3 linked regions of the Arabidopsis thaliana genome follow. The protein of the gene in region 1 binds, or shares a complex with, the protein of each later gene. Each region holds a gene or a part of one and is shown on either strand. Other genes may lie near its edges. The genes, in order: emb2737, FTSH12 and EMB3144. A codon is read from its position in the direction of its gene.

Evidence for each region.
Region 2: the proteins of emb2737 (region 1) and FTSH12 are in contact, whole or in part, in a cryo-EM structure (PDB 8XKU), measured with the Arabidopsis thaliana proteins. Residues at the interface, in NP_001032071.1 of Arabidopsis thaliana: Thr82, Ile85, Ala86, Leu89, Lys92, Ser160, Ala161, Pro162, Leu163, Pro164, Ser165, Lys166, Ile195, Met196, Glu197, Pro198, Pro199, Ala202, Val205, Leu206, Met209, Tyr211, Pro212, His215, Ser224, Ile225, Phe228, Thr232, Leu233, Ile236; in NP_565212.1 of Arabidopsis thaliana: Lys126 (codon at 5,424), Asn127 (codon at 5,421), Pro131 (codon at 5,409), Ile134 (codon at 5,400), Asn137 (codon at 5,391), Lys138 (codon at 5,388), Trp139 (codon at 5,385), Trp142 (codon at 5,376), Leu156 (codon at 5,105), Ala160 (codon at 5,093), Phe161 (codon at 5,090), Leu163 (codon at 5,084), Leu164 (codon at 5,081), Cys167 (codon at 5,072), Gln168 (codon at 5,069), Tyr171 (codon at 5,060), Met323 (codon at 4,182), Glu327 (codon at 4,170), Leu330 (codon at 4,161), Val334 (codon at 4,149), Ile335 (codon at 4,146), Glu381 (codon at 3,776), Asp382 (codon at 3,773), Leu383 (codon at 3,770), Leu404 (codon at 3,628), Pro406 (codon at 3,622), Tyr407 (codon at 3,619), Phe409 (codon at 3,613), Glu410 (codon at 3,610), Cys413 (codon at 3,601).
Region 3: the proteins of emb2737 (region 1) and EMB3144 are in contact, whole or in part, in a cryo-EM structure (PDB 8XKV), measured with the Arabidopsis thaliana proteins. Residues at the interface, in NP_001032071.1 of Arabidopsis thaliana: Pro63, Glu64, Ser67, Ser70, Tyr71, Ser73, Val74, Val77, Ala78, Leu80, Gly81, Asp84, Ile85, Asp88, Lys92, Cys102, Asn103, Trp105, Gln106, Ala107, Leu108, Arg109, Lys114, Gly115, Thr116, Gly117, Gly173, Thr174, Gly175, Ala176; in NP_201263.2 of Arabidopsis thaliana: Asn149 (codon at 4,349), Phe150 (codon at 4,346), Ser151 (codon at 4,343), Met154 (codon at 4,334), Tyr170 (codon at 4,286), Gly171 (codon at 4,283), Gln172 (codon at 4,280), Arg206 (codon at 4,078), Met207 (codon at 4,075), Pro208 (codon at 4,072), Ile209 (codon at 4,069), Asp210 (codon at 4,066), Gly211 (codon at 4,063), Asn213 (codon at 4,057), Asp214 (codon at 4,054), Asp232 (codon at 4,000), Val233 (codon at 3,997), Val234 (codon at 3,994), Glu237 (codon at 3,985), Thr240 (codon at 3,976), Thr241 (codon at 3,973), Thr244 (codon at 3,964), Phe245 (codon at 3,961), Trp248 (codon at 3,952), Leu252 (codon at 3,940), Phe255 (codon at 3,931), Val256 (codon at 3,928), Tyr259 (codon at 3,919), Asp263 (codon at 3,907), Thr266 (codon at 3,898).

Annotation. Positions count from the first base shown.
Region 1 is NC_003076.8:21,863,393-21,869,393, reverse strand, and holds emb2737 (embryo defective 2737), read right to left. Parts: upstream 4,127-6,001; 5' UTR 4,042-4,126; coding exon 3,817-4,041; coding exon of another isoform or gene 3,788-3,816; intron 3,463-3,787; coding exon 3,398-3,462; coding exon of another isoform or gene 3,367-3,397; intron 3,262-3,366; coding exon 3,163-3,261; intron 2,962-3,162; coding exon 2,829-2,961; intron 2,612-2,828; coding exon 2,552-2,611; intron 2,385-2,551; coding exon 2,325-2,384; intron 2,236-2,324; coding exon 2,113-2,235; intron 1,979-2,112; coding exon 1,868-1,978; intron 1,754-1,867; coding exon 1,682-1,753; intron 1,571-1,681; coding exon 1,433-1,570; intron 1,347-1,432; coding exon 1,191-1,346; intron 1,105-1,190; coding exon 1,000-1,104; intron 851-999; coding exon 818-850; 3' UTR 552-817; downstream 1-551. Other genes in the region: AT5G53850 (haloacid dehalogenase-like hydrolase family protein), read left to right, coding at 4,577-4,784, 5,169-5,305, 5,694-5,741.
Region 2 is NC_003070.9:29,924,947-29,932,774, reverse strand, and holds FTSH12 (FTSH protease 12), read right to left. Parts: upstream 6,017-7,828; 5' UTR 5,800-6,016; coding exon 5,371-5,799; intron 5,142-5,370; coding exon 4,957-5,141; intron 4,751-4,956; coding exon 4,524-4,750; intron 4,328-4,523; exon of another isoform or gene 4,308-4,327; coding exon 4,030-4,307; intron 3,798-4,029; coding exon 3,720-3,797; intron 3,641-3,719; coding exon 3,398-3,640; intron 3,295-3,397; coding exon 3,154-3,294; intron 3,050-3,153; coding exon 2,882-3,049; intron 2,787-2,881; coding exon 2,674-2,786; intron 2,575-2,673; coding exon 2,358-2,574; intron 2,265-2,357; coding exon 2,193-2,264; intron 2,104-2,192; coding exon 1,984-2,103; intron 1,891-1,983; coding exon 1,774-1,890; intron 1,664-1,773; coding exon 1,487-1,663; intron 1,304-1,486; coding exon 1,184-1,303; intron 1,083-1,183; coding exon 1,008-1,082; intron 916-1,007; coding exon 808-915; coding exon of another isoform or gene 784-807; exon of another isoform or gene 749-783; intron 716-748; coding exon 635-715; and 5 more. Other genes in the region: PGK (phosphoglycerate kinase), read left to right, coding at 6,480-6,674, 6,975-7,052, 7,141-7,401, 7,490-7,807. UniProt on the Arabidopsis thaliana protein: Probable ATP-dependent zinc metallopeptidase.
Region 3 is NC_003076.8:25,816,407-25,823,613, forward strand, and holds EMB3144 (AAA-type ATPase family protein), read right to left. Parts: upstream 5,162-7,207; 5' UTR 5,060-5,161; coding exon 4,790-5,059; intron 4,524-4,789; coding exon 4,268-4,523; intron 4,168-4,267; coding exon 3,792-4,167; intron 3,702-3,791; coding exon 3,443-3,701; intron 3,341-3,442; coding exon 3,209-3,340; intron 3,121-3,208; coding exon 3,046-3,120; intron 2,975-3,045; coding exon 2,849-2,974; intron 2,769-2,848; coding exon 2,659-2,768; intron 2,571-2,658; coding exon 2,492-2,570; intron 2,418-2,491; coding exon 2,280-2,417; intron 2,184-2,279; coding exon 2,072-2,183; intron 1,974-2,071; coding exon 1,810-1,973; intron 1,722-1,809; coding exon 1,616-1,721; intron 1,521-1,615; coding exon 1,444-1,520; intron 1,364-1,443; coding exon 1,220-1,363; intron 1,129-1,219; coding exon 985-1,128; 3' UTR 977-984; intron 868-976; 3' UTR 512-867; downstream 1-511. Other genes in the region: AT5G64590 (NYN domain protein), read right to left, coding at 5,926-6,059, 6,117-6,340, 6,385-6,631, 6,780-6,795. UniProt on the Arabidopsis thaliana protein: Functions in chloroplast biogenesis and chloroplast division. Required for plastid development during embryogenesis. Might be involved in chaperone functions or play a structural role in the thylakoid FtsH complex.

The sequences.
Region 1 (6,001 bases):
GAAGTTTCTCAATCTTTATCGTTGCGGGTCTAAAGTTCAAATGCTTATATAATTCAACGTCCAAATAAATGCGATCTACGTATTCCCATTTATGGTGTAAGAATAAAACAGTCCAAAAAATGAAAACAAGTAAAGGACTAATTGCAAATTTGCAATGTAGGATTTGAACGGACCACAATACGAGTTTATACACGACTTTGTAATAAAATGAAACACTTATTAAATTCTTTTACCTGCTCCACGTACGTGAAGGTCAACATGTGATTTCCTAAAAAAACGATAAAACCAAATGCTAAAACCTTGAAGTAACTATTGTCTATTGATAACAAGAGCTTGATATATCTAATACTTCTCAATTGAACAATACCAATTTGATAAATTCCAAAAAAATAAAAAAATTTGATAAGTTCCATTTGTCAATTAAGTTTAAGTTCTATCCAAAATGATGTCGATAGATATTTAATTAAAAAAAGGGTAAAGATCTTTCGTAATACCATAACATGAAAGACACACGTAACTTGTTGAAATGTGACGGTGAGACACGAGGAATTATAGAGAGAGTGATTGATAGGAGAAAGACGAAAACTAAGTTCAAAGCATGAAAGAAAGATCATCGTATACACGTGGCGGTACACAACGAATCTGCCAAGTGTCTGCAAAAACAACATTTCTTTTAAAACATTACAACTGATTTTGAAGTGTAATCATATTTGACACCCATCAAGATTCATATCAAAGCATATTTTCATCAAAGAAGCACAAAAAAACTCAATTCAAAATCCATTTTATATAGATTCGTTTCGACACACTTGGCAGGTTAGAAGAACCACCACTTCCTTTGCCGGCTTCCCTGTGTAATAAACATATAAATCAACATGTGATCTTAGGTTCTATTTTCAGGCAAAGAGCTTCTTGTATGATCTAATTTGGAACCTTATTTAGTGTGTAAGAGAGAATGATATCAAGTAGGCTTATTCTTGTAACCAATTCAATTGATACCTTTTGAGCTTTCTTCTGTGACTTTAACAAGATGGGTTGTGGAAGAACAGCCATGCTTGAGTCTTGGATGTAAGGTCTCACTTTCTGCTCCAACATTTCCTCCACCTACAAATCAAAAAGATAAACGGTATGCATTGGAGTCGTGAATGTGATATGAATACCGAATTGTGTAAAAAAGTTCCTTGATTAACCTTCTCTTGACGCCATTTAGCTTCCCATTGTGCATCCAAGATTTTGTCTGCGATTTCTCTTTGAGCATTGAGAAGAACTGTCTTCTCGTACAGTTTTGCCGGGTTTTTGAGATCCTCTTCACTCCAAGAGGAAATATTCAATGGGAGATTCAGTTCCTGTACATGTTCAGCAGTTAGTTCTTAACTATACCCGTGGTCTCAGGAACTGTGATGCTAAAACCAAAAAGAAGAAGAAAGCTTACACCCCAATTCTGAGGACGGGGAGGTGGATTGAGTTTCGTGACTTCAGCCTCCAGAGATTTCTTAGCCTTGTAATAAGGGACATTCTTCACTATGACGGGGTCTTCCCGAGCACGGACAGGATCAATGGAGACCAAGGCCTGTAAAACCATGACAACTATATGGTGATTGCTAAACTTCTTCAGCTAACATATTCCAATGTAGTTCCCCAGATTTGCCTAAACTTTAAAACCACAAATAGGCGATCTTACATCCTGCAAATATTCCCAGCCAGGATTGCGTTTAGCCACCAAGTCCCGAAGTTGATCATATCGCATAGATTCCTGATCACAGAAGACATAAATAGTTAAACTCTCATTGATGCTTAAAGCTGAAGTATTCAACAACAATAGTTCCTATTGAACAGAAAATTCTATGCAATACAGATCCCTGAGTACATCAGTATCCCACAAATGTCTCCAATTCCATAGCACAAACCTATCCAGATATGGAATCGAAACTATGTTGGTGTAGCAAAACCATCCCAAATGAGGATTAAGAAGATTCAACTATCAGGTAATTGTAGACTAAACCTTTTACGGTATGCATGCTTTAAGCCTCTAGAAGACCATAACCTCAAAAGTGAAGCCTGGCAAATAACTCATGCTGAAGGAGATCTACATATGTAGAAAGAGATACTAACCTCATATTGCCACCATATTTTCTTCTTGACATCTTCATCATAATCAAACCCACCCACAATCTGAGGCAAAGTGATCAACCAGAAATTTGCAATGCTGGGATCTTTCATGCTGTGAACAATGTGCTGAAATAGAAAATATGACTCATAAGACGGTAAAGATGTAGTAAACATAGCAAGCTGTTGGGTTGATAAATAGACTTTGTGGTGCTCACCTCGTACGGATAATCCATCTTCTTCAGCACATTATAGGCTTTCCATGGAGGTTCCATGATCTGCAAAATGAATCGTCAGTAAAGGTATTTAGCAAGTGATAGTTTTGTTCAAAACCAAACTACCTCTCCATGTGCATTTCATTTCTAATAACTAGTATATATACATCCCACAGGGGATTTATGTAGATGTTAAGCTGAGAAGACGTAATAGCAGACTCAAAACATACATCATCAGCTGAGATTCTGACTTGCAGCTTGTTCTTGCACTCAGTACAGCTCATCGCACCCTTCAATATCAATAGATGTTCCATCAAATTTCTAAGCATACACTGATGAAAAACAGCCTATCGCGATCACTCTTAACACAAACAAGCACCTTTTTACGTGGATATGAAATTAGCATAGTTGACAATTTGGAGATATAAACCAAATCAGTATCAAATATAGCAGTGCAAATACATTTACAGAAGCCTAGAGCATTAAGAGCGAGATTAAAAAGCTTACCGTTCCATCACAAGTTGGGCAGTCTTTTGATGGCAATGGAGCACTATGGTTGAAGGAGGAGGGAAGATGAACTAACTCAGCTCGATTCTCAACTATAGCATCTGCGACACAATCTGCTGTTGGTTTCTCTCCACTACAAGTAAAGACAGAAAGGATAAATCTTTAAATCCTTTTATCTGTTAGAATATCACTAGGATAGCTTAAGCATTGCCAAATGGAACTGTCGACATTAATATACAGAGAACACAAAGAGACCGTCAGAATAAAGTGGATCTATTCATGAAGCCTAGTAGTTTAAGCGATATAACTTGGGTTAAACAAGAGATAATCCCACCTTCTCAAGTTGTAATCTTTGATTTGGTAATGAACACTCCCTGTTCCTTTGCACATAGTGCACCGTAATGCCTGCCACCCATTACAAGTTTTGCAATCCCTGACCAACAAAAAATGTTTTCATCTCATCGGATGAACTCAAACAGTAGAACCAAAAACATAGCGAGGAAGTGTGAGAACTGAGGTTTCTCAAAAATTCTCTGACCCAGAATAAAGCATCAAATCTTGAAGCTGACCTTTGGCATATGACTTTCTTTCCCAAATCCAATGCAATGTCATAAGTTCCAAGCGTAGCAACCGCCTGCAATCAATGGAACTCCAATGATAAAAAGATTCCATATAGAACAAGTAAAACATGCATTTTCCAGTTTCCTAAACTGATTTTGATCTTACAAAACTTCGACTTAGAAATCAAGTTGACAAACTCAGACAGAAATTCAGCACAATATAGGCACACTCAAATTAAAGCTCAAAACTTTAGCAAACATTCGAAGCGTAATTTCCCCGGAAACATCAGCTACCAAAAACCCAGAAAGAAAATGATAGTTTCAAGCTAGAAACTCAGCAAAAACCAACAAAAGTTTCAACCTTTAAGACAACTACATGTCAAGTTCTAAACCCAGAACCATATAAGTTTCAGGAGAAACCAACTCACAAAAACAGAGAGATACGAAATTTTGGAGATGAACTCAGGGATGCCAAAACCACGAGGTGCAGAGCCAGCGATATCAAAGGCGAGAGTGAAAGGAGACAAGACGAGCTTGATTGGAAAATCGAGAATGTCTATAACTTGTTGTCCATAACGAGTAGAGAATTGTTTGAATTGAGCATCAGCGAACTGTGTCACGTTCTGTATTAAACGACCTGGTCCTCTCGACATTGGAGAAGATGAAGAAGATAAGAGCTTTTCTCGCTCTCTGGTATTTTTGAAGAGGAGGTTTCAAGAGTGGTTTTTACACTATTCTTATCTCGGTTTTGGATTAGACTTATTCTTTGTTACCAAACATGTACCTTCTAATTAGACTACGTGTCGTTTCTTTGTAAGAAAAACGACAAGGAGTTTAATTTGAGAAATCCCCAAATCGAGCGTCTTTTCTATATTTGCGGCGATGACGGCGAAGATACGGCGGAGGAAGCGCCGTGGTATAGAAAAAAAATATTGAAATTTGCTATGAAAGTTTTTTTTTTTTTTTATGTTTGTTCTAACTCTAAAGCAAGAAACATGCTGTACTTAAAAATGCAAACTTTACGAAACTTTGGACCTTTAGATTAAATAAAAATTAAGGGAAATTGTAAAAAGGAATCATATTCTGAAAGCAGCCAAAGGAAAGCTCGCCAGATAAACCTGCGTTTCATTCCCCTACAAAGCTCTAATCTTTCAATCTCTATACCTCTTTCTCTATCTCTGAGAATCTATGGCGGTGGCTGCAGCGGCGATGATCGGGTTGCCACAGGCGTATCTGGAAGGGAAGGAGGTGAAGGAGACGAGTTCGTTGGTTACTGAACTCTGCCGTCACTTTTATACTCAAGGTTGGGTGTCTGGCACTGGCGGTAGCATAACGATGAAAGTTCATGATGCTTCGATTCCTAAACCGGAGCAACTTATCGTCATGTCTCCTTCAGGTTCTCTACATCTTAAAGTCACTTTCTTTCTCCTTGATTCTCATTTTGATGCATCTTTGAACTGATGTATGTGTCGTTGCTCTGTTGAGTTGATGTGTTTGTTCTCGTGGACCTTTAATTTGCTATATGAGCTATGCGTAATGCGTTTATCAGTTAAAGTTTCTGTTTCTAGAGATCATCTTTGTGTATTTAAAATCACTGGTAACACTCTTTTTGTGGAGAATTGGTTTGGTCTTTCAATGCTTAGAAGCGTTCTCTTTGTGTATTTGAATCATTAGCGACTTAACAATGCAAGATGTTGAATGGAAAGGAAAATCTTGCAATGCTGATTCTATGTGTTATTTTATTTGCTTCACGGTTTACTGATTCTTGTTGTGTTTGAAGGTGTTCAAAAGGAGAGGATGCAACCTGAGGATATGTACATCTTATCTGCTAATGGATCCATCATATCTACACCCTCTCCAAAGCCATACCCAAATAAGCCTCCCAAGTGTACCGATTGTGCTCCACTTTTCATGAAGGTATGGTTTTGTCGCTTTCAAGGTAGTAATACTTGATTCTGCGTTAGGGATTTCTGTATACGTAGCTTGATTATCACTTTGCTATTGGCCTTCTTTATCTTATGGTATTTTCTTTGATGATTGTGCATTTTTTGTTTTCTCAAATTGTTGAGCAATGTTGGATTTCGTCAAAGTGTTGAGCAGCAGTTACGGATTTCAAGTTATAATGTTTTCTGTTAAGAAGGATTTTTCTTAGAGCACATGGTTATGAACGAAATATGTTAAGAGCTCGTCGCTCTTTTCTAGTGGTATTTTGTCCTTCCTCCCATTTAGCTAGTGATCTTTTACTGGAATGGCAAATACGTTGTTTGCTAATGACTGTTGGATTACAATCCAAAAAAAAGTGCAGAACAGGCGACTTTCTTTGGGGAAACGCTTGCGAAAACTCGGTTACAAGGTAAAACTTGTCCAATTTGAGCAATAATCCCCTCGTTGGATGTGTCAAGTGGGTTTCTTCGACCCATAGAATACCCACTAGGTTGCACTGGTTGAGATGGATTCAGTAGTGAAGTGTTAGAACTAAACACAATGGGCTCAGAAAAATGAATTGATATTTAGAGCGTATTGATGTTTACACAAACACTCTTGAAAATGGAGTTTTGGTTGTAACTTCTCTTTACTTATTAAAGAACCACCTTAGACTATCAAATATATCTT
Region 2 (7,828 bases), on another chromosome or scaffold:
TTTGGGGTTTGGAGAGAGATATTTCTTGATCCTTCTCCTTTCCTTTTTTTGTTCTTTAACAAAAACAAACAAAAAAAAGTTGAAAAGTTTATTCCAGTTGGTTGAAATTGTTTTGTCACATGTATCTGTTGAATACACATGCATCCCTTTTATAGCTATGCACTGTGTTTGCAAAGATGAAGAATTCTTGACCAGGCAAATAACAGGAAAGGTTTTCTTATGTGAGCATATCATATGGTTTCTCTGAAAATGTTCAACTGCAGATATATATCATCAAATACAGACAGACACAGTACAAAATCCGGCTGGGCCAGGAACATAACTGCGGATATTCTATACCTAAACCAATGATGGGGGGCAAAAGCTCTTTTAAGATGATTTTTTTAGATTGATCAAACCTTTTTGGTTTTCACTATTGAAGAAGTTGGGAACAATCCTGTGGTGTGACAGGATAAGAGTAAAGCTTCTAGCTTCTGTGGAGTGGCGCAGCACGTAAATCAACTGGCTGATAGCTCACTCGATCCTTGTGAGGTAAAAGCTCCTCCTGAAAAGAAAGAACAACTAGTGTCACACACTTAAAATGGGAACTAGAGCTGAGGATTGAGGATCAACAAGAAGATAATATATAGACTACATCATCAGGGTTTATCTGGAATGGCTTCACAAAATCCTCAAACATTAACGGAGAAAGATCCTTCATTTTCTCTTCCACTTCCTACAAAATGAAAGCAATATTTCTTCAGACTGAGAGTATCTAAGCACATAAAAGGTCATAATGAATTGTCATTGAAGTTTCAGAAAGTGTACCAATCCAGTAATCCTTGATTTTTCTAATAACTCTCTGGTGATTAAGTCCAGAATGTGCCTGTTTGCTCTCAGAGCATTCATCGCAAGTTCTTCAGTCTCCTCGATATACTGTCACCAACATTCAAATACCATCTATATGTTCAAGCTCCACATGGGAGAGTTTAAATCAGATTAGGTGTGCTGAGTCGAAGATAAATTACCCTTGTCAACTCACGGGTGAATAGCTCGGATACTTCTACCGACATCTCTGCTGGCATTACATGAGGATGGTCCCACTGATATAACATCACCAAGTTGAAAAGAACGTGAGGAACTACTGAGAATATGTAAGATCAGCAAAAATGGGATAGTATCAGTCTCTGATTAATGGATATACCCGGTATTTTATCAGCTCGCCGTCTGGGTTATCTGGTAAATCCACCATTCCAATCTTTTTTACAAGTTGAGTGAGACCTAATCTCGCACTTTGAGGGCTAATCACCATCTCCCTGGCAATCTGAAAATGTAATGTCAGGTCAAATTTAGAATGGAAGACTAAACATTAATATTACTCAAAACACAAGCACTTTGCAGATATGCAGTTACATAGATGTTATTTTAGCTACCGAGTTGAAGGTTTAATCAGAAGCTGAAAAGCAAGGCACAGTAATTAGTTAAACGAGAAAGGGAGAGTACTTACTTTTGTTATCTTCTCCAGGTCATCTTTTCCTCCATCAGTGACATTATCGCCAAAAACCACACGTTCAGCACAGCGTCCACCATGAGCTACCACCATTTGCATTTTCATATAACCAAACGTGGTATACCCTTGGTCTACCATGTCTTCACGTGGATAGAAAACCGATACAGCAGTTTCCTGTAAGATTCAAGAGAAAAGTTTATTTAATCCATTCTTACACTGTGTTGACTGTTGAGTGTTCAAACACCACTATCATTACAACTGAAAAATATATATTTGAAACAGACCTTGCCACCAGGAAGGAGCTGCGAAAATGCATGCCAGTCAAATCGAGGAAACAAATGAGCCAACACTATATGACCAGCCTCATGAACAGCCAGAAGTCTCTTCTTTTCGTAAGATACCTAATATTACATAAGCTTTAACGGTTAGGGCTTTTTTAGCTGTGGAGCATAGTATGTTTTGAGATAAATAGTACAAAGGATGTCAGTACGAACACTTTGTTCACATTTCTGTTGCTCTTCCTCTGTAAGAAGTACACCCATACCCTCGAGCAATTGTTTATCTAACACATCAACAATGTCTTGTTGATATATGTAAGAACGTCCCTTCCTTACCTGTAAAATTGGATTACGATCAACAACGCTCCTCTAGAAATGGTATAACTAAATTGGGAAATTGAGATCCACATAAGAATATGACATACCGACATTATAGCCGCTTCGTTAACAAGATTCCGGATATCTGCCCCGGAAAAGCCAACCGTTCGAAAAACAAGCTGGATGTGAAAAAGGATATAGTTGTTATGAATGAGCAAACACCTATATCAAACATGTTATTGGGATTGAAAAATAGCAGGAAAACAACTTGCCTTCCCAAAGTCTATATCTTCTGCAAGGTTCTTCCCAGCACTGTGAACTCCAAATATTTGCACCCTTTGCTTTGCATCAGGCAACCCAATATACAGCCGACGGTCAATACGGCCAGAACGGACAAACTCAAGGTCGAGTTCATCAGGTCTATTGGTAGCACAGATAAATATCACAGCTTGTCTCAAAGAAAACCTATCGATACCTGTCTTCTCTTTCCTGCAGGTGGTACAATATTAAGTATGAAAGCCTTGATACAAACCCGATGAAAACATGTACATATCACTAAGATTTATAAACAAGTGCAGATTCTCTTACTCCCCATCGAGTTGCGCAATTAAAGCTTCAAAAGTTGCTCTTCTCCGTGGATCTTTTCTAGCATGTCTACCAGCAATAGCATCTATTTCATCCACAAACACAAAAGCAGGGGCCTGGAGATAGTATATAAAATTAGATCCACAATAATAGTGTGAGTAGAAGACAACTATACCGTATGAGCTTTAAAACACATAACTAAGAACCTTACATTTCGTCTCGCGATTGAAAACATCTCATTGATCTTTGCAGCACCACTTTTTTCACTGTCTGTGAACTCCGCACCAGATGCAAACACAAATGGTAGCCCACTTTCCTTTGCAAGTGTTCGCGCAAAAAGTGTTTTTCCAGTTCCAGGAGGTCCAGAAAGAAGCACACCCTGACTCAAAAATGAAAACAGAGGAGAGTTTGAGCTTAGCTTAGACAGTTAAATGGAATAAACCAATATCCACATGTTAGTTTTTGGGTCAAGATGTAATTTACCCTGACAAAAGCCACATCTTTTTCATAGTATTGCATTGGGTTCCCCATGTAGATCATTAGCTCATCAAGAAGATCCCAGACATCACCGCCTAGTACCACTTCCTTATACATTGATTTTGTCTCACTGACATCTCCAACCGGCTGTATGATAATTAAAACTCATCAATAGAAGTGTGAATATGTGGGAAGAAGGCAACTAAACAAAGAAGTAACGAGGTTAATGGTATACAGTAACGATGATTACCAATATAAAATTTTCTGCATAAGCCATATCAAACAGCTGATTATACTTCTTGTAGAGAAAGCGCTTGGATGTGATAAGGAGAAGCATGGCAGATTCTCTTATAAACCATAAAATTAGTATCCCCGGCAGAAGTGCAATGAAAACTTTCATGAAGTAGTGGATCTGCCTCTTCTGAAGAAGATCCACCTCAACTCCGGCGTTGCAAATAGTCTCAAACAAGTAAGGATCTAAGGGAATGTCAACCTAGAAATAAAAAGGATATGACATGGTGAATGTACATCATTCATTTCCAAATACTTGCAACTATAATTTTTTTACTTACAATATATTCTAGAGGGAAACCTTCTTTCATGGTCACATACAATCTCTTTAGGTCTTCCGTGAAAACAACAGCTGCAACCTGTTATGAACACATACACAGATTATCGTGCCAACATAAGCTAAAAAAAAGATCTATCATCCTATCACGTCCAGCTTCAAATTAATTGCTTTGGAAAAGGAATATATTCATCATATTTTAACTCATAATGAATATACCATCACTTGTTATCATTTAAAAAATTCAACTGGATATAATGACACTTGCCACTCACAATCCCAAAGCCGGACAAGAGTATAGGTTAGAGCTGTACCTCAGAAGAATCAAGCTTCTGAAGGAAGTAGGTATAGGGAAGCTTAGGGCGATATCGCCACCATCTCTTTGATATCCAGAGAGCTCTAGTTCCCTCAGTTTCAGATGTCCTTCCAATAACATCTTCGCGAAGACTTTTCTCTACCTCTTTCATATCAAATTCAACCACATACTTCGCCGCTGAGGAGTTTAACTGTTCTGATAATTTTTCTCGTTCTAACATTTCCTTCCAGGTTGCAAGCCTTTCCCGCCAATTACCTACACTGTCTCCAATTTCACCTATCATAGAAGAATGCAATAGAGGATTAGATGGTCAAAAGCACAGGTTACCAATGATAGTAGATGAGGGATCTAGAAGTGCTGCTCTGAAAGAAACTTGATTAGTGAGATAAGATTAGGTCGTCAAAAACAAAGGTTTCGCACAATAAATCACTTCTTGTTATATCTTCAGCATGCCACTACTAAACAAGTATCACCTAACGAATGTATACTGACCAGAGACACCCAGATCTTGGCTTAGTTTCTTCTTTGCCTCTGTCTGAATCCTAGCATTTCTACCAATTATTTTCTTGAGAGATCCCTCTGTGGTCTCTAGATCGTCATCCCACGCATTTTCTCCAACATAAGAACTATCGTGGACAAGTGTTCCATCAGGCGCTTCAATGAACCTTTTTAATTTCAAGCCTTTAGGTGTTGCTTTCCTCCACATATTTCTCTTGAACCTGAAACACTAGAATAAGTCAGGACATTCTACAAAATCAAATAAACAGAAGTTCTTTTAGTCTTCCCACTCTTGACGCTTTAGATGCCTCATTAGCTGAGTATTTACTTGTTAAAGGATGATACCATAGTTTGAATATGAACCATATTTTACCATGTCCCAGTAGAGAAAATTACAATCGGAAACTGAGGATTAGGAAGCACCTACTTTTCTATATTTCCAGGAGATGGCTCGGGGATCAAAGCCTCCATAAAAGACTCTGTTAACTCTCTTCTCTCTCGTTCTACCCGAGGAGCTTGGATGGCAACATAAACTCTTTGACAAGAAAGTAACAGCGCAAAAGCATATATGAACAAGGCAGCAACTCGTTTACCGTCCCAATTCCTGATGTCCTGATACAATACATCTTCCCTCATTAAGAAACAACCTAATACACTAGTATATGTCGCTAGAATAAGCGTAGTTGTAGTCTCCTCCAAAATTTATGCTTCCGTTAAATCAACAACAAAATAAATAAATACCATACGTTTGTCCCTCAATGTTTTAGAACACAAGCAGAAGTCTAACAATACTTGAGAATCAGAAATTTGATAATTACGTTAAAAAGCTGAACCAGCTTACCTTCCAATGCTCCCACTTGTTCCAATCAATAAACGAAGGCACTGTCTCATTCTTAAAGCGAGTCAGCTCGTGATGGCCCTTGTGCACACTATCCTTAACTCGAGCCACATACTCATTCACTCTCCCACTTGCTTCTTCCGAGTCAAACCCAATTTCTGTCTTCACAGATTCTCCAATCTTCTCCCCAATCCGCTCGGCACCAAGGCGAATAGACTGAGCCAATCTCACCCACGAAAAGCCTCCATCGCTATTAGATGAAGACCCACTACTACTTTCAGACGCATAGACTCGAAAGAGCTGTTTTTTCCGGGTAGCTCCCAGTCCATACTTGGCGGGAAACCGAACAAGACCAAAACTTTTTGATCTTTTCAACAACTGAGTCGATGAAGAGATAAGCGGATTCGGTTTATACGAAATTGCAATCTCCATGAATGAAATCACAAGAAAAAAATTAAAAAGAGAACAAAACCAGACGCATTTGAAGATTTTTCCCGATTAAAGAGCTCTCTCTGAGAAAATTACTGAAGGAAAATGGTGAGTACCAACCATTCAGCTCACTCGACTCTCCGGCAAGACTTACGCTTCTCTCCGGTAAGGAGGTTTATCTACACTGATCCGTCGTTGAGAGTGTCCTAATACTTCGAAGGAGAAAGATGACGCTTAAACTCAAAGAGGCTCGAAGCCTATTAGTTATATAATTGGGCTAGCCCATTAAGGTCCATCAGCCCACTATCCGAAAAATAATATATTTAAACCGTGGAATCCAAGGAGAGACACAGTGGCAAAAAGGGTAATTATAGGGACATTTCTTGGGGTGTTGTCCAAGCTGCTTTTATATAAGGAAGGGATATTGTTCTCTCGCTTCTCGAAAGATCCATTCACCAACTCTTTATACCAGCCTCTGTAACGTTCGATCATCTTGTATTTCATTTCAACCACTCATGTAAGTATATTCTTTCTTCAGATTCCGATTGTTTTCTTCGATTAAGTTTTGAGCTAGATTCTCTAGATCTGTTTCACCGATTTGGTTGATTTCTCCGTCAATCTGAACTCGCGGTGTGCATCTTGTTGTTTGCAGTGTTTTTAGTTTGTTTTACGAAGAATCAACTATGGCGACGAAGAGAAGCGTTGGAACTTTGAAGGAAGCGGATCTGAAGGGAAAGAGTGTGTTCGTGAGGGTTGATCTCAACGTTCCTTTGGATGATAACTCTAACATCACCGATGACACCAGGATTCGTGCCGCTGTTCCCACCATCAAGTACTTGATGGGTAATGGATCTAGGGTTGTTCTCTGCAGTCACTTGGTATGATATCTTATCTCAGTTCTCACTTCACTACTTGCTTATCTGTTGTAATTTTGGTGTGGGAATTTTGATCTGATCTGTTTATCCGGAGAGCCATGCGTATAAGAAGAGTCTCTTTGCATGTTAGGATGTAGATATAGTATTCTTGTTTTTCAATATGTTCATTGACTCTATCGGTTGATTTTCTGGTGTTGTTTGGGTAATTGTTTTAGTAAGTTTACTTGGATATGTTTATACTCAAGTTCAATTGGATGATGCTGTTGAATTAATGGATGTATCTGATCTCAATTTATGTTTCAGGGCCGCCCAAAAGGTGTTACTCCTAAGTACAGCTTAAAGCCTCTTGTGCCCAGATTGTCTGAACTTCTTGGTGTTGAGGTTTGTTCCTCTTCCTCTTCTAGACTTGCAAGGTTTCTGAACATTAGCTTTTAAAAGAACACTGTTCTCACTCTGTTTGTGTTAATAGGTTGTAATGGCAAATGACTCTATTGGTGAGGAAGTCCAGAAGTTGGTTGCAGGACTACCTGAAGGTGGTGTTTTGCTCTTGGAGAATGTGAGGTTCTACGCCGAGGAAGAGAAGAATGATCCTGAATTTGCAAAGAAGCTTGCTGCTCTTGCCGATGTTTACGTTAATGATGCCTTCGGAACTGCTCACAGAGCTCATGCTTCCACTGAGGGAGTTGCCAAATTCTTGAAGCCTTCAGTTGCTGGTTTCCTCATGCAGAAGGTATTTAAAATTTGCAGCATAAAGAGTATCTTCTTAGATGAGTCTCTTTATTTTACTGATCAGACTATTACTTGTTTTATTGTGTCAGGAACTTGATTACCTTGTCGGAGCTGTGGCAAACCCCAAGAAGCCTTTTGCTGCCATTGTTGGAGGCTCAAAGGTTTCAACAAAGATTGGTGTCATTGAGTCTCTCTTGAACACAGTTGACATCCTCCTGCTCGGTGGAGGTATGATTTTTACTTTCTACAAGGCACAAGGACTCTCAGTCGGATCTTCCCTTGTGGAGGAGGACAAGCTTGACTTGGCAAAGTCACTCATGGAGAAAGCAAAGGCCAAAGGTGTCTCTCTCTTGCTCCCAACCGATGTGGTTATTGCTGACAAGTTTGCTCCCGATGCTAACAGCAAGGTAACTATCACAGTCATTGTG
Region 3 (7,207 bases), 4.0 Mb from region 1:
TGTCAATTATTGTAATTGTTCACATTTCTCAAACCCCAAAATATTCTTAATATAAAATAGAAGAGGCATGTCCCATAATCCCATTATATATGTAACCTTGTATATATTCATCATCATTATTTTATTTTGAAAAAAGATTTTGTTCATAATTATCAAAACTGGATAAGATATTCGGTTATGTGTATGTATCCGATCGTCATGAAAATAACATGTTAGCATTAAGGCTATGTAATTATGTGCAAACCTGCCACGAATAAAAAATAAGTTATACACTAAGTAATAAAGGAACTTCAATAACACCATTAGTGGCGTCACTCCAAGCGTTGGTTGCACAGTCTAATGTATGACATTAAGATGCTTTTTAATTTGGTTTCTTGCAGATATGTATAGATTGAATCTCAAATAAAAAATGTAGAAGCTGAAAAAAAGAAGAAGGAAAATATCACATGCAAAGATTATAGTATTGACGATATCGACCTGCGACTTTATTGTCGCCATTGGTTAGGTGTTCAAATTGCAAATGTATTTCAACATTTCTATGATTGTTAATATAGATAATGATATCCAAATTGGTCATGAAAAAAGCAATCTGATTTTGAAAAAAGTGAGATGAGATTGTATCTACTTTCTTTTTTTTGTTTTGGCCCATGCCCTACACAGCCAAGCAAATTTGCATCAATTAAATAAAAATAACAAAATATTTTATAAAAATGATCACATTTGACATTTTTCTCAGCAAATAAACTAGTGTGATTCCACTAACACTCTTTTCTACAGATCTCTATGTTTTACATGATACATAATAATCTCTAAAGTTTCACCTGGAGAGCTTTGTTCATTTGATGTTCTTGAGACCGCAAAACTGAACTGAAAAACAAAAAAAAAACAGTAACAAATCAGCAATTCATGTTAGCATTTCTGGACACTGCTGGCTGGTTATTGATGTTTAACAAAACCGTGAATCTGAGAAACTTACAAATGATTTTAAAAGAAATGGGTTGCCATCAAAATCTGAGGTTTCTTCTTTTCTTCTTCAATTTGAATAACAGCTTCTGCTTTGATTTCTTCAACCTTTTTATCCCAAATCTCATCCACTAGTTTCCATGTGTCATCGCTGATGATTTGTGTCTGCATCAAACATAGCACAAGAGTATTATATAAGAGAAGAAAAAAGTTTAATCTTGTTATGATCTATGAGTGGTTTGTTTCTACTACATACCTCCATGGGACGAGGAGCTCCAAATGTTGCAAAACCAATGTTTCCTGGTGAAAATGTTACTCTTCCAGGAAGCGATACACCGTGAATTCCCCATCTTCCCGCATAGATTAAAGCTCCATACTCATCGACAGGTCTCACGGGTTTCTGTTTTCATGAATCAAAGGATCTGGAAAAACCGGAAAAAAAATCAATACAGAGAGATAAGATTGAGAAAGATAACTAACTTGAGGAATCCTTGGAGCTGTGTTGTAAATGTTCCAGATTTCATCGGCTTTGATTTCTCCTTTCTCAAGAAGCACATCTGAAAATATTATTACACTCTTTAAGATTGTTGAGTGTATGGTGATATCTGCCATTGCAATGACGAAGCAGAGAGGATATGATATTATTCTAAACCTGTGATTTCTTCAAGGGCTGATTGATACTCTTGTAAGATTGATGAGCATTTCTCAACAGCAAACCTCATGTACTCATCGCGTAATGCCTCAAGTTTCGGAACAAGCTATACACGAAGGAGAATCGAAATTGGTGTTTCTGAGATTCTCAAGAGCTAAAAATAAAGAGGTAACAAGTACATATATAAAACTTACATTAGGAACGAGGTCTCTTTGGTTTCGGTAATAAGCTTTTCCAAAAGCAGTCATTCCCGTCTGAAGAATCAGAAATTCCGCTCGCTGTGAAGCTTCTAAAGTAGACTTAGCAGAGATCCAACACAGGTTTTCTATTCCAAACATCTCTTCTTCAACTACTCTAGCTATACGACACAAACAAGGGGATGAAGTAAGCGACAGAGATTTTTGTGATCTATAACGAAAAAGAGAAAGTGTTGACAAGTTTGGCTTTGCAACTTACGAGCACATGCACGGATTATTGAGTTCACATAATCTGACTTTCTCGCAAAAACTCTTCCTGAAGTTTCAGAGTAACGCATATTTGGTTGGCTTCTAATCGAGTTTATGTCAGTCTGCAGAGAGAAGCACATGATACAAAAAATGGTCTTAGTAATGCTATAATTCAAAATAACACATGAAGGAAACTGCACTCAAGTTTCTTAATAAACCTCGCTGATTGGACGATATTGATCTGGGAGATAACAAGCAAGAACAGCAACAGCTGCTTCTCGGTAAGCCAATCTCAACTTCAGTTCCTCTGGAACTTCAGTACTATCTTCTTGTCCAGTCTCAAATGTCCCTTTTTGCTGTAAGGAGTGGAATCAGAATTTGCTAAAGCAGCACCTAAGCATGGATAAACTGGATATCAAACACTAGTTACCCGCTTAAGCGCCTCAAGGAGTTCTTCTCTTCCAATGTAATCCAAATCTTTTCTAGCTGTCAAGATTCCAGCTTCATTTCTGTAAACAATTAACCAAAGATCAGTGTTTTCTGTTTTTTTCCCTCTGCATCTAAATACATAGTTGAAGCTGTAGCATTGTATATTACAGAACGTTTTGCAGTTCTGCTCCGGTAAAATCTTCCGTGTTCTCAGCTACTTCTTGCAGCAACTCCTCCTTCTCATCCTCAGATCGAAAGAATTTATTTCTAGCATGTACCTTTAGTTACAAACAGAACTTTTCGTTAAAGCACAAAGCCAACCAAAACTCGTCATATCCAGAAAAGTAAAATTAATTACCTTTAATATCGCCAATCTACCATCTTTTGACGGTAAACCAACTCTTATGATTTTGTCAAAACGACCTTTTCTCAATAGAGCAGGATCAAGGATATCTAATCTATTTGTTGCACCTATGACTAATACCTGACAAAATCCATGATTACTAGCAAGTATTGTTTATTGAAAAAAAACTATATAGCAAAGGGAAACATTACTTGTGATGTAGTAACTTTAAATCCATCCATCTCAGTCAATATTTGAAGCAAACCTTGTTCTCTCTCTGCTCCTCCCTATTCAGTGAGTAACACATTTCTAAAGAAAGTTAAATCTCTTATACTAAAATCTAATTTCCGGAACAAGAAAGCATTGCATTCTTACCCCGCCAATATCGGGTCCACCTCGCTTACTTCCAATTGCATCAATCTCATCAATGAAGATTATAGATGGCGCATATGACCGAGAGCTAGCAAAAAGATCTTTAACACGAGATGCAGCCACTCCTACAAACATCTGAGAGATTTAAACAAAAACAGGAAAACTCCATTAACTCAAGACCTTAAAAAACCAAGATATTTAGCACTGTTATTCATGTTGACACAATCAATCACTCACCTCAACAAAGTCGGTTCCATTTGCCGCGAAGAAAGGTAAACCAGCTTCTCCAGCAATAGCTTTGGCTAACAAAGTTTTCCCCGTTCCGGGAGGTCCATGAAGCAGAACACCTTTCGGACAATAAATGCCTTTATTCTGAAATTCCTCATCATTCTTTAAAATTCGCACAATTTCTTGTAATTCCCTCTTTATATACTCCTGACCCGCAAAATCATCAAAAGTAACACCAGTTTTCTCCTCTGCTGATATAAATTTTGCCCTTACAGAGAGAACCAAACATAAACTTAGATCCAACAAACTTGAGCAGAAGAGGTCAATATCAAAGGAAGTCGAGCATTTCTAAACATACCGACTCTTGCCTAGGGAACCGAGTGCTTGGCGCTTGAGGGGCTGCCTTATCTTTTTGGTAGGGGTTCCGAGATCACAAGGGATTAGTTTGGCATAGATTGGCCTCGTGATACTGTCGATCCAAACATAAAGCGAAACAAAGAGGGCAAGTCTCATAGACCAAACCACAAAAGTGGCAACTGTAGTATAGACTTCAGCTGGAACCACATCTACATTGAAAACCTCTACGTTTACTATCTGCTGATGCAACTTCTTCCATACATCATTCCAACCATCAATTGGCATTCGGTCCACAATGTGACGACGGAAAATTATCTCCTTTTTCGAATCTTCTTCTTCTCCTAGGGGCTCCCCATCTTTATAATAAGGCAATATCACTGCAACAACAACAAAACTTAGGCAAAAGATTTCAAGAACACCATGTCTAGATTTCAAGCAGTTAGATGCAATGTATCGAAACTTTTTGAAACTTCTCACCTGATATCGTCTGTCCGTAATTTGAATATTCCATGTATTGAACACTGTTGGAATCTAAGAGCTTCATAAAATCACTAAAATTGATACGGTGAGAGGTTTCAGGATCCCATTCTGTTCCTTTTAACTTGCCACGCATGGTTAACAATGTTCTACTCCAATCTGATGCCATAACAAGCTGCCTTTCTAATTGTACATTAGCCTTTCTCTCGAGCTCTTCCATGTTGCTAAGTCGTTCTCTTTCAGTTTCTCGTAACTTCTACAAAAACCAAAAGATAAAACGAATTAAAGCTTTGAAAACTCCATTAAACAAAATGAGGAATAAGTATATCAATTAAGCTACAACCAAAAAATGTTTCAAGTATTGAATGCAAACATAACCTCTTCAACAGAAACTACACAAGTATACGATCAAAGTCCGAAACTGAGTATCACTTATTAGCTTGCAAGTTCTTCACTTTGCATTCTAGAAACGAAAGCCCTAGAATTGGATAATTCTAGCTATAATTTGAAATAGAGATAAACCTCAAATAGACGATTGGACTCAGCATCTTCTTCCTGTGAAACTGAAGACTCAGTAGACTCAAAGCTCGATGTACTGCAACAAGTAATCAAACCATTTCTTCGTGAAGGAAAAAGATTGAATTTGGAGCTTAATTTAGCTTCCGTTGGTTTTCTTCGACGGACGAAACTAGACAGAGAACCTCGAAATTGACTGGGGAAGAGGGTATTAGAAGGGTTTAAGGGTTTCGAGAAATGGGTTGGAGTTAACGAGCTCGAGATATAAAACGTCATTGTTCAGTCATTAGATTAGAGCTGGGAAAAATTTCCCCTCGATTTCTAAGTGCAAAGAGAAACGATAGCAACAAACTTTCTAGAGGTGAAATTTGAAGCTGGTGGGTTCTTCACGAAGATTGAAAAAGACGATCGAAACGGTGCGTTTTTAACAGTTTCTCAAACGCGCCGTTTTAAGAGATTACCGGTTCTATTGTAACCGGACATCACCGGTTGACTTTCAAATGTGCTAATTATGAAGATACCGAACCGGTGAAGCTCTTTCTCAATCCATAAAGGAAACTCTTTCAATATGTATCATTATATATTCTGGTTCATTCTCTAGTCAACTAAGAGACATTTGCTCTGTATGTATGATATAGATGATGTGTACACAATTGTAAAAGACGTCGATAAGGTTGAACATGGATCATATGACAAAACCTCTTCCATGCTTTGGTTGTGGAATCGGATGGTTCCGTGTTAAAAGCAAAAGAAAAGGGGACTTTTTGTCTCGGTAATTTTGTTTTTTGCTTGGTCATGCATCAGTTTCACAACATGTTCTCTCTATTAATTAGGATGATTCCAAAAGAATCAAAAACTTATGACCTTTTTGCTAAACTTTCAAATTGGTTAATGGTTAAGAGGAAAGCATTGGTTACGACTTAGGAGTTTTAAACAAAACAGGGAAAGCAAAATAGATAGATGCAAAGTAATACTCAAAGATCCGAGTTATTATGCATACCAGATAGAAAAGACATAAAAACAACCAGAAACCTTTGAATAAAAGAGTCAAATGCGATCTTAGGCAGAGCCAGACCGAGTAGAAGAAGGCTACAAGGATCTTTGCACGCAGAGAAGTTGGAGACCCATAAAAAGCAACACAATCATTTCAAACTCGACCCGTTCAGCAGCTTAGCATTCAACGCTAGCTCAGCGTTCCGTGCAGCTGATAAGCTTGACCAAAGCCATTTTGTAGGTACAGCTTTAAGTAGCTGTTGTGATGCGTTTTGAGGCTGTGCTAAGAAAACAGTGAAATTTAGACATCTCATAAGGTGAGCAGCCAATTCGAACTCACTGTGACCCGAGAGGTCTCCCACGATGAGCATCAAGTTATCTATTTCAGGATTGCCAATTGCGCAGCAAAGAAAGTCTACAATAATCTTCTCAAGTCTGGCATCTTTATCCCCGAGTGGCCTGAGATGTCTCCCAGGATCAGCACAAATTTTGTTTGGGAAGGTGATCTGATTGCCCGGCAAAGAAATTCCACTAAAATCTTGCTCTGTCTGGTACGTCTGTCTCCTGAAACCATATTATCAACTCAGGATCAACAACAAGATACATACCTATATATATATGTAAAAGATAGAGAGAGTGTGTGTAATTGACCTAAAGGGGAGCACATCATCCCGATTCCAGCGTGTTTCGTGGCCAGAGAGTAATCACCAAAACCGGTGATTTCGCACCTTCCAAGATACTCACCATTATTCGCAAGGGCCATTCTCATGTTCCGCCAAACAGCCTCAGCAGTGAGACCATCAGGGACCGGGCAATCCTCGACATCCCAAAAGAAGACTGTACTATGCCCTCCTCCTAGGTTTTACCATATTACAAAACTGATTAGATCGACTAACTTGCTATGAAAGATCGATCACATCAAATTCCAAACTGCATCACAACAGATCTAACGCTTTCAAGGACAAGGAGATTACAATTTCCAGAGAAAACATATATATCTTACCGCTGAACTTAGGCATCGTTTTGGATCGGTCGAGAAAACTAGATGCTTGCTTGCTGAAGATTAAAGAGAGAACAAGGTTGGCGCTAATCTTCTTCTTTTTATGTTTCTCGGTAGCGGTGTCAAGTGGGCCACAAACCTACGGGCTTGGCCCAATAAATGGGTTGTTGATGTCTGCAAATCTTAGTAAAACGGTAATATTCCGAGTATGATGTCTAGGGAAGACAAATTTCAAATCCATGAACAGAATCTAATCCAAATAAATTTAGCCATCTTAAATCTTAATCATACTACGTATATTGTTCCTAATATATGTAAATCTCCAAAGACGTAAAAAAAGATAAGGAACTTACCGGGGTCAAAATATTGTAATATAAAACCGTATATTTCTCTAAATACTTAGTCTTTTATATAACATATCACATTTAAAC